Linked DNA regions of Yarrowia lipolytica. The protein of the gene in region 1 purifies or fractionates together with the protein of each later gene. This does not show direct contact. Links are inferred from orthologs where the notes say so. Each region holds a gene or a part of one and is shown on either strand. Other genes may lie near its edges.

The links.
Region 2: the proteins of YALI1_D15523g (region 1) and YALI1_E16174g purify together in Saccharomyces cerevisiae (affinity purification with mass spectrometry; 3 studies listed by BioGRID, with this or other methods). This does not show direct contact. The link is inferred for Yarrowia lipolytica from reciprocal best matches to the Saccharomyces cerevisiae genes UFD2 and NPL4.
Region 3: the proteins of YALI1_D15523g (region 1) and YALI1_E30958g purify together in Saccharomyces cerevisiae (affinity purification with western blotting; 3 studies listed by BioGRID, with this or other methods). This does not show direct contact. The link is inferred for Yarrowia lipolytica from reciprocal best matches to the Saccharomyces cerevisiae genes UFD2 and VMS1.

Annotation. Positions count from the first base shown.
Region 1 is NC_090773.1:1,551,542-1,555,293, forward strand, and holds the start of YALI1_D15523g (uncharacterized protein), read left to right. Parts: upstream 1-772; coding exon 773-790; intron 791-846; coding exon 847-3,752. UniProt on the Saccharomyces cerevisiae protein: E4 ubiquitin chain-elongation enzyme specifically involved in polyubiquitin chain assembly.
Region 2 is NC_090774.1:1,615,969-1,619,674, forward strand, and holds YALI1_E16174g (uncharacterized protein), read left to right. Parts: upstream 1-1,421; coding exon 1,422-3,164; downstream 3,165-3,706. Other genes in the region: YALI1_E16164g (uncharacterized protein), read right to left, coding at 1-485; YALI1_E16194g (uncharacterized protein), read right to left, coding at 3,338-3,497, 3,541-3,581. UniProt on the Saccharomyces cerevisiae protein: Substrate-recruiting cofactor of the CDC48-NPL4-UFD1 segregase. Assists CDC48 in the dislocation of misfolded, polyubiquitinated ERAD substrates that are subsequently delivered to the proteasome for degradation.
Region 3 is NC_090774.1:3,094,309-3,098,060, forward strand, and holds YALI1_E30958g (uncharacterized protein), read left to right. Parts: upstream 1-1,562; coding exon 1,563-3,383; downstream 3,384-3,752. Other genes in the region: YALI1_E30943g (uncharacterized protein), read left to right, coding at 1-1,116. UniProt on the Saccharomyces cerevisiae protein: Endonuclease that cleaves polypeptidyl-tRNAs downstream of the ribosome-associated quality control (RQC) pathway to release incompletely synthesized polypeptides for degradation.

The DNA.
Region 1 (3,752 bases):
GCACCACAAGAGCGTAGAAGTTACGACATGTTGAAAAATGTTCCGGATCTAAAATCAATTATCGAGTCCCACACTCAGGGTATACGTTATAGATTGTTTTTTTGCAAAACTATTATATTCTCCAAGTACAGTATATACATTAGGGAGGCGGCCTGCTGCTGCTGTTCTTACCACTGAGTCCCTGTGCATAGAGTTAAGGTCCCGGATAAGCTGGTTTGGTGAAATATTGAGGACCCTTGCATTCATGTGCGAGAATCTATTGTATTATATTTATTGTATGTACTGTACAGCCGATACGAGTGGACCACGAGCTGGCTATTTTACTGTATGTGCATTCTGGGCACCCATAGCGTAGAGTACCGGTATTTCTTCAGCTCATAGCAAGGCTTTCCGCCAAGGGCTTTCTCAGTTCCATCAAGGTTGTAAATTAGTACAGAAAGTACTTGAGAAGTGCCAATAACTACTTAGTTCTTACAGTAGTAGTACACTCGTGGTACTTCGGCCTGATGAGAAGAAGCTCGTACGAAATCGGTAAACACGGTGGCAAAAAAACGACCGAAAAACATAGGTGCGTTCAATTGAAGGTGACACCAGTGTACTAAATCGCTCGAGTTAGGCCCCGTGGAGCTTCTATTCGCTGCTGTCTCTAACTCCACAGTATTCGTGCTTGGAGATTACCTAATATCGCACGCCAGACATGTCCCAACTGCACCCTACAGTACTAACTTTCAGATTGAGACAAGTGTGGCAATTCATCATCTGGATCAACACCATGTCATCAGCAGAAGAAGTGAGTGAAAAAGAAATGGAGAACGATGAACCGAAAGTACAGCCGTGCTAACACAGATTCGTCTCAAGCGTCTAGCTCGTCTAGGAGGAGGAGCTTCCAGTCCCTCTCCTGGTCCTTCCGAGTCCAGGAAGGCAGAGGGGACACCTAAGGAGGAGGTGAAGAAGGAGGTGAAGGAGGTGAAGGAAGTGAAGAAGGATGAGCCCAAAAGCACACCTGCGATCAAACCCAAGATCAAGATTGTGCCCAAGGCCGCTGCTTCTGCCGCCACAGGCACATCGACCCCAAAATCCGCTGCACCACGACCAGCTCCAGCTCCCTCGGCTTCGCTGACCGTGCCGTTCCAGCAGTACGAGCAGGACGCAATTGAAAGCATTCTGCGAATCACAGTGCGAGACAAGCAGCGATGCACGCAACTTGCATCGGTCAAGGAGGAACTGGAGTCGGAAAACAAGCCCGTGGCGCTCTCCAGAGACAATCTCGAAGATGCGCTCTTCAGCCACCTCACAGGATCCAAGGCAGTCTTCAACTATCTCATGGAGAGCTTTCTGCGGGCCAAGAAAGACTTGGCAGTGCTCAACAAGGCTGGCACGGACGCTGTCGATGTAGAGCCCAAGAAAGAGCTGGTCAGAAATATTATGGAAATGACCACCCGATATGGACTGCTGTTTGTGTCTGTTCCAGACATGTACGAGCAGGCCCAAGGCATTATGGAGGTGCTGAAACTGTCACAGAACGGCTCATTGTCGTGGGAGTTCGTGGACGAGATCTTCTCACGTGCCCAGACCGACGGAGACATGGGCTCTGTTGCGGGCAAGATTCTGCAGGACGTCAACGGGCTGATTCTCAGCGCCAATCAGGACGCCTCCCAGTCGGCCACCGCTGCTCTCTACTTTGTGTCGCACCTGTTCAGCAACAAGCTGTTTGCTTCTGCTGTGCCCGAAATTGAAGGCTTTGTCGAAAGTGGCACCAACGACGAAAAACCCGCAGACATTGAGAAGAACCCCCATGGTCTCGGCCCCGTTTTTGCCATTTCTCCTTTGCATGGTTCTACCGCTCTCACCTTCTTCCCCATCGGTACTCCTGAGCAAATGATGGATCCCCGTGGCAACGCCGCCAACGGAGTGCGAGCCGAGTCGCGAATCGTGCAGGACCAGCTGTTCCAGATTGTCGACAAGATTGTGCGGGCGTCTCCACAGGCACGAGACTGTATTCTGCAGTACTTTGGCCGCGTGCTCAAGTGCAACCACAGAAGACGAGCCACTCGACTGCAAGAAGGCACCACATCTTCTGACGGCTTTCTGCTCAACATATTTTTTGTGTTGCTCAAACTGGCAGACCCGTTTGTCGATAACGCCTGTTCCAAGATTGACAAGATTGACATTGACTACTACAGCCGAACCAAAAACGCGGTAATTGACATTTCCGAGGAGACCAAGATCCACGCCGACTCCACCGAGGCCGCAGAGTACTACGGAGACGAAAAGAATGCCGATAAGAAAGACCTGGCTCCTAACTTCATTTCCCATGTGTTTTTCCTCACCGCCGGATACCTATACTACGGTTTTGGAGGTGCCCAGCAGCAGGTGACACGTCTCAAGGAGCACCATGACCAGGTTAGAGACTACCTTGACAACTCGCGGATCCAGTATGCCAATGTTCCCGAGGCTCAACGGGGAGCAGTGAACATGCAGCTACAGAAGGTGGAGAAGATGGTGGGTTCTTTGGCGGCCCAGCGAGCAGCCATTCTGGCCGTCATCTCCGAGCAGGACGTGTGTGTCCAGGTGCTGCAGTTTGCTATTTTCCAAATGCATTATCTCATCCGAGTTCTGGACCCCTCTCACACTTATCCCCTGGGTGGCGAAGTTACTCTGCCCCTGTACACTGGAGAGAACACGGGACCTATTGCTTACCTCCCCGAGTACCTAATCGAGGGTCCTGTTGGCATTGTAAACGTCATGTGTCGTCACAACACCATTCTGGCCATGTTGTCTCCCTTGGTGGACGTTTCTGCTCTCGTCACCTTTGGAGTGGTCTTTCTGCGACACTCGGACGTGATCAAGAACCCACATCAGAAGAGCAAGATTGTAGAGATGTTGTTTTGCGGCACCCAGCCCATCTACAACCAGAATGATGGCTTCTTGGTGTCTACATTCAACTCGCAGAAACTGGCACTGGAGTCGCTTATGCATTCGCTCATGAACATCTATATCGAGTTTGAGCAGACTGGAGCACATACTCAGTTCTACGACAAGTTTAACATTCGGTACTATGTGTCGCAGATCATCGAGTCTATCTGGAACAATGTCAACTATCAGAAGCGGCTGGAAAAGGAATCCCATGACAACATTGACTTCTTTGTGCGGTTTGTGGCGCTGCTGCTCAACGATGTCACCTATCTCATGGATGAGTCGGTCAGCAGTCTCACGGAGATTCGGCAGATTGAGGCGGAACTGGCTGCCATGACCGAGGAAGAGAAGAACTCCACTCACGCCCAGGAGCTGCAGAAGAAGTTCAAGACAGCCGAGCGCAACATCAAGGGGTGGATGCCTCTCACCAACAAGAACATGAAGCTTCTTGATTTGTTCACCCAGGCTGTCCCCAAGTCGTTTGTATCGCCCGAAATCGTCGACCGACTAGCTGCCATGATGAACCACAACCTCAAGGCGCTGGTTGGCCCTCGATGTCGTGATCTCAAGGTCAAAAACATGCTAAAGTACGGCTTCGACCCCAAGGATCTGCTGGTCAAGCTTTCCAAGGCTTACTACAACCTGCACAAGCAGGACGCGTTTATCCAGGCTGTGGCTCGAGACGGCCGATCGTTTGACCCGGCAAACTTCACACGTGCTATTGAGCTCATCTCGCGTTTCAACCTTATGCCTAGAGAGTACCTGGATCAGATTGTGGCACTTCGAGACAAAGCCTCGGAGGTGGCTGCTCAGGACGAGGAGGACGAGCAGGACCT
Region 2 (3,706 bases), on another chromosome or scaffold:
TTGAGCTCGTTGACTCGTCTTCGCAGACCCTCGTTCTGGATGATCTCCGACGCAGTAGCAAACATGGTTTGGGCCCAGTTTTCGGCGTATGTGTTGGCCTCAGCGGCACAGTCGTTGAGCTCCATTTCGATCATCTTCTCCCACGCGGTGAACTGATGCAGCAGATCATCTCCAATGGATCCCGCCTCGTGAAGAGCAGTCAGATGGGGCTTGGCCTCCTTGGTTTTGATGATTCGCTTGATGTTTTCCGCCGACCGTCGTAGAAGAGCGGCCTTGAGCACCTTTTCGGATGGACGGGGCGACGTGTGGTCCCGCAGAGTGAAGTAGATGTCTCGGGGAATGTGATCGGGGTACCACGGTTCGACTCCTGCCAGGTTGACCGCCTGCCGGGATCGGTAGATCTTGCCAAACACGGCCAGCGCCGTCACAAGCACGGCAAAGTAGATGAAGGGCGTGTAGATGGAAACGCCGCTGCTGCTTTCCATTGTCGGTCTTTTGTCGGTCTGTTGTGTGTGTGTGTGTGTGTGTGTGGTGTTAACAGAGGTAACGTTACGTGTGTCTCGTTCTTGTTAGACTCTCTTCGCTTCGGCCACCTATGAATAACTCTATTTGCACTGGAGAAAGAAGGTGTAGTATAATCAGCTACGCGCGTTGCATAGACGAGGCTGGAGAGGACGACAGAGTGTGGTCACGTGGATGTTTTTTTGGTTGCAATTGTTTTTTAATGGTTGTATACGCGTCCCGAGGATATCGTTGCTTTTTTTCCAGAACCAGATTTGGGCTATTTTGGGGTAGTTTTAGACGACAGTCGAAGAGGTTCTAGAGTTTATGTAGTTACTTGGCTTTGCTACATAATGATACTTGAGATTTAATTAGAACATGCCAATGTGGGATGGTATTAGGTAAGCCGAGTGAAGTGTTTAGAGTCTAGTTGTGGCTACAAATATGAGTACGAGTACACGAATTTGTGTTTGTGGCCACCAATTTCTGAACCGACCGTTCAAGCATCCTTTTCATTGGCTGTACACATGCCATCCGCCATTATGCCCGCGCTTACAGTAGTATTATCATTTAGGCTGCTAATTATACTGTATGAAACTTGTACATGATCATCAGCCCCAAACTAGGACACCTTCAAACGGCGTTTCCGAATGTTTAAAGACCCGAAATACTCTCCTTCACCACTGTAATACATATTGAGGCAATATCTTGACCTCTTGGTACGATACTACAGACGTCACACTGTCTGTCGCCATCCAGCTACTTTTTTTATATATACTGTTTTGTTTTTTATTTTATTGATTCTCCAAGTAGAGCCAAATATCTTTAACAAACTCTAAATCCTCACTCGGATATGCTTGTCCCAGTGGCAACAGGAAGCTCCATCTCAACATCATCTCTATCAACCACTACTTTCGAGAATGGTGAGTACTGCAGACACAAACAGCTGTGGAATTGTGCCCAGACTAACTCAGATCCTGCGATTCCGGTCCAAAAAGGGCACTCTTCGAGCGGAGGCCCAGCCCACAGATCTCTTCGATGTGGCGTTCAAGAAGCTCACTGAAGACCTGCCAGACATCGATCCCGCCACAATCACCCTTGCCACGTCACCCACAGGCAAGCAGGAACCGGCCTCTCGTCTTCTGGGTAAAACCGTCCAGAAGCTGGGGCTTAATCATGGTGATATGCTGTTTGTCAGCTACACAGACTCGGCCCCACGAGCTGCTGTGGAGGCTGTGACGGCCGAAACCGCTCCCCAAATGACCGCGGCACACATTCGAGACGCCACCAAACAATTGCCTGTCGATGACTATCTCGAGAAACAAGATGGAAAGATCAAGCGACAGCTATCAGCACTCCAGCAGCGAAAGTTTGGATCCAGAGGTATGGGCGAAGACACTCTTCCAGTCGACCCCTGGGACGAGGAGTATCTCAAGGAGCAGAAGATTAAGCATATGAGCTACCATGCCTACGTCAAAAAGCTCAATTCGCAGGCGAACAAGAAGAATGGAGGCGGATACATTGCCCCCCTGAATGTGTCGGATTTCGGAGTGTCCAAGAGCTGTACAGGAGCCCATGCTCCCTGGCCCGAAGGAATCTGTTCCCGATGCCAGCCCTCGGCTATTACTCTGCAATCACAGCCTTTTCGAATGGTTGATCATGTGGAGTTTGCAGAGTCAGGTATGATCAACAGCTTTATTGAGCCCTGGCGTCAGTCCGGAACACAGCGTATCGGCTGGATGTACGGCCACTACGAACCCTACGAACTTGTGCCTCTCGGCATCAAGGCTGTTGTTGAGGCAATCTATGAGCCTGCCCAGAGTGGTGAGTATGACGGTATCACCATTACTGAAATTACCCAGGCAGACGGTCAGCCTCAACCTCCTCATATTGCCACTGCCGAGGCGTGTGGACTGGTGCCTCTGGGCGTCATTTTCACCGATCTGGTTGATGCTGGCAATGGAGATGGTTCTGTCATCTGCAAACGACACGCGGATTCGTACTTTTTGTCGTCTCTGGAGGTGGCATTCGCTGGAGCCATGCAGGCACGTTTCCCCAACAAGTCGCGGTGGTCACCAACGTCTGAATTTTCGTCCAAGTTTGTCACTGCCGTGATTTCCGGTAACCCCAAGGGCGAGATTGATGTATCGTGCTACCAGGTGTCTGAGCAGTGTGAGGCTATGGCCCGCGCAGATCTCATCGAGCCCAGCATCAACCCGTCGGTGCTGCTGGTCAAGGAAGCTACAAAGACACGATATGTTCCCGACGTGTTTTACAAGAAGAACAACGAGTACGGACGGACGGTGCTCCAGGGAGCCAACCCACAGCTTCCTGTAGACTACATGTTGGTTACACTGACCCATGGCTTCCCCCAGGACCCCAGGCCTTTGTTCTCATCCGGCCTGTCGTCTTTCCCTGTGGAGAACCGAGAGCTGATTGGAGTGACCCAGAGCCCCCAGGCACTAGGAAAGGCTCTGGACTCTGGGTCTGCTGGAGGAGCTGTTTCCAACTTCCATCTGCTGAGCTACATTCAGTCCATGGGTGTGCTATCTGCTGAGGAGTTCCAGTTGTTGGCCAAGGTGGCTACGGAAAAGAAGGATGAGGACGTGAGTCGGTTGGTTGCCAGTGAGGGCTGGAACAATCTACTGTTGATCATCCAGTGATGGACGAGTATATAATGGGTGCATTACAATTTCTATCATGCCGACTTGTGTCGTACAGTACGAGTCCAAGTATCATGCACTACTTGTAGCTACTGTACAATCAAAGTCCGATCCTTAGCGGCGAGTAAATTGCAAGTCTAGCAGCATACAGTAATGATGTCTTGGATGTCTGATCATGACGTCAACTTTATCGCTCGAAATACCATTTTTGTAGTCCGTTGAGAGCCATATTGCAACTGTCGAATCATAGCAACTACAGTATGACGAGAGCACATGTTGTTGCCAAACAGGTACGGCAGTAAAAGTGGCACCGTGCGGGTACTGAACAATAATCTATGGTTGCCATTGTTTCTGTAGGAGGAGAATGTTCCCGCACCTTCTATAGCCACGTGCAGCAGTTTGGATGGAACATATCATCTCATCTTTCTTGTGTTGAATAAATGTACGAAATCGCGATAATCGAGGCCAATTGGCGAAATCCAAGTTGGTACAGCCCTTTTCCGCCGTTGCCCCTCGCCATTCTGGTATCACACGCCCCATCC
Region 3 (3,752 bases), on another chromosome or scaffold:
CTTCATTTTTTCATGCACCAACTTTATCGCAAAAAAATGGAACTTAAAATTCCTAGTCTGAAAAATCAGTTTTATATCCGGCTACACAAACAACTACACAACTTCGTTGCCATGACGGAAAATCGCATCAGACAAGTCTTCAGGGAACGCAAAGAACAGGGCAAAACAGTGACCGTGGCAGGACCTATGGTTCGGTACTCAAAACTGCCGTTCAGAGCTCTGGTACGCCATTTCGACTGTGATGTGGTATACTCACCCATGATGCTGGCTCGGGAATTCTGTCGAAACCAGACAGCCCGGCTCTGCGACTTCACAACCAACAAAGACGATTTCCCGCTTATCGTGCAACTTGGAGGCAACAACGCGGAAGATATGGTCAAGGCTGTCAAGATGCTGCAACCGTATGTGGACGGAGTAGGAATCAACTGTGGATGTCCTATCAAGGAGCAGATCCGAGAGGGAGTTGGAGCAGCGCTGATGACGGCTCCCGATCTGGTTGCAGAGATGGTGGCTGCTATTCGTAAGGAATGTGGTGCTGAAATATACGTGGAGGTGAAGATGCGGATTCACAAGGACCTGAATGACACGGTGCACTTTGCCAAGCTTGTGGAGGCTGCTGGAGCTGATTCTATCAGCGTGCATGGCCGGCTGGTTCCACAAAGAAGCAGAACGGCCCCTAACTACGACGGAATCAAGATTGTCAAAGATTCTGTCGACGTTCCTGTCATCGCCAACGGAGACGCATTTACAACTACTAACATCGAGGAGATTGTCGAGCTGACGGGCTGCGACGGAGTCATGGCTGCGCGAGGCATTCTCAGCAACCCAGCAATGTTTGCAGGATACACAAAGACGCCCTGGAGAGCAGTGGAGCTATTCTGGGACTACGTCACAGCTTATGGACTTCCATATGCTCTTACGATCCACCACTTTTCGGAAATGTTGGAGGCAGAGCTAACGAGGTACGAGAAGAAGGACCTCAACAACTGTAAGAACATGGTGGAGCTGATCAACTGGTTTGATGACCGGTTTGACCTCAAGCGACCTGGAGATGAGGACTTTGCTATCAGAGACGAGTATCCCTGGAAGAACAGAACAAGTTTTGTATATAACTAGAGGTGGGAATGGTGCATAATAGATTGATAGAATACTACAACTACTGTATGTACTGTACTCGTACTATATACTGTAGGTGCCGGTACTACACATCCGAACTATTCGGATGTAATTTTTATCACGACGTGCCTATAATTTAATCTACATTGGTCGTAAACGGATGATTTAAGAAGAATGGACTGATAATAGCACAAAACCAACTTGTGAAGTAACACTTTTCGAGCCAATATTTTCACATATCTATTTTCACCCTATTAATCCTTAGTAATCTGAATGTTCCAGATGGATTTTAGCGTGCATGTCAGAAGCGGCAATGATTCATCCTTCCAACAAGTGCGTCATCAACCCACTTTGATCCAGTGACTATAAAGGGCTTGATCGGCAACAGAAACGACCCATTAAAACACACACATTCACTCTAATCGACGCATAATTCATCTATCAAAATGGCAAAAGCAAAGCAAGCACCTACGGCATACTTTCTGTACGACCTGCCTGAGTCTATTCTCAAGTCTCTCAAGGTGTATGATTTCAACGGAGTACTGCGATCTGAAGAGACGGAAGTTAAGCCATCGAGCCAGTTTTCTGCTGAAGAAAAGGCCTTCCATCGATACAATCACAAACTGCGTCTTCAGGGCTTGGCAGCTATTCGAAAACCAGAGTACGATCAACTGCTTAAAGATGGACTGACTGACACACAAAAAGACGACGATTCAGACAGCAACAGCAACAGCAACAGCAACAGCAACAGCAACAGCGAGGAGGATACAGAATCGGACAGTGACGAAGAGTTTGGACTGCCTCGAAAAATGGAACTGGCGTCGATCTCGGAAGCTGGAGATGGAGAAACGGCAAAAGACGAACTCAAGGGAAGCCCTGTCATCTTCCTCAAGAGCCCCGAAGTTGAACCTAAGACACTGACGGTCTACAAGAATGCACTGGGCCACGTATCACCCACTGAGTCGGGTATTCTTGGGGAGATTCAGCGGGTGAATACTCTTCCGGAGGCTACTTCTGTGATCATCATGGCTGGAGGAGGACATTTTGCTGCAGCGATCTTTCAACACTCGCCGAAAATCAAAAACACAATGGTTCCCCTAATTCTGGAAACCAAATCATTTCACAGATACACCACTCGTCGAAGCCAGGGAGGTTCCCAGAGTGCTTCTGATGGTTCAAAGGGTAAGGCCAAGTCTGTGGGTTCCTCTCTGCGACGATATGGAGAGAGCCAGTTGCAGATGGAGGTGAAGGAGTTGCTGACTTCTCCCGAGTGGAAGAAGCGTCTGTTACCTGGCCTTCCTACGTCTGCCGCTAACATTTACATTCGAGCCAGTGGAAAGGGCAGTCGTGGTCTTGTTCTTGGGTTCGAGGGATGTCCTATTCCCAAAAATGATTCCCGAGTCAAGAGTATCCCCTTCAACACCCGTCGAGCAAACTACACCGAGGTTCTGCGGTCCTGGACGGAACTGTCCACTGTCAAGGTTGTGGATGTGAGCAAAGAGGAAGAGGAGGCAGAAAAGACACGTGAAAAGGAGGCCGAGAAGGCTCGGAAGGAGCAGTCGCGTCTTGCAGCGGCTGAAGCCAAGAAGCAGAAGCAGCAGCAGTCCCAACCTACCACCGTACCACTCACTCCTCTCATGAAACAGACTTCTGAGATCACTGAGTTGATTCGAAAGAGTCGGGCTCCTAAGCTCATTTCGTACCTCAAACTGCAAAAGCTCAAGTCGCCCTACCAGCTGGAGTTCCCCGAAGGAGATAAGACAGGCACATTGTGTCCTACTGCTCTGCATTACGCCGCTAAAGAGGGTAGCGCTTACATTGTGAGTGTCTTGTTGAAGCAGCTAGGGGCCGATCCTACCGTTACCAACTCGTTTGGAAAGACTGCTTGGGATCTGGTTTCGGATAGTAAGACCCGGGACACTTTCCAGCTGGCAAGAGGAGCTCTTGGAGAAGACAAGTGGGACTGGAAAGCCAGTCATGTTGGAGAAGCTCTTACCGATGAGCAGATTGAACAGCGAGACAAAAAGGAGGCTGCTGAACACGACCAAAAGGTCAAACAGTCCATTGCCCAGCAGGAGGAGGAGCAGAAGGAAAAGGAGTCCAGCAAGAGATACGAAAAGATTGTCGCCAAGAGTGGACTGGGAAAGAGACTGCCTCAGATGGCCACCAAGCTGGAGGACACTAGAGGTCTTTCTGATGAAGCAAAGATGAGACTCGAGCGAGAGAGACGAGCTCGAGCTGCCGAAGCACGGTTTGCAAAAAAATAAGGCTAAATAGAATCACTGTAGACACTAGCGTGCTAATATATATTCTCATGAATGCTGAACAGAGACTGCTTGTAGCCTTGTGACGGATAACAGAAAGCAAGAGTGGGGAACAATGAGTGTATTGAGTGAATGGGCTATAAATACGACATACAGTAAGTACAAAATAGTTGTGTAGTGAAACATGTTCGTACTACGAAAAATTCAAAAAATAACGCTTGGTATTCCCTAACGATATGATCATGCGGAGGATCGAACTCCGAGCCTCCCCGGTGTGAGCGGGACGTGATAACCATTACACCACACGACCTGGCTATTACTTTTAAGGACCAACTATCTTACTAAGGGCTGTGTAATGATTAGTCATAAATC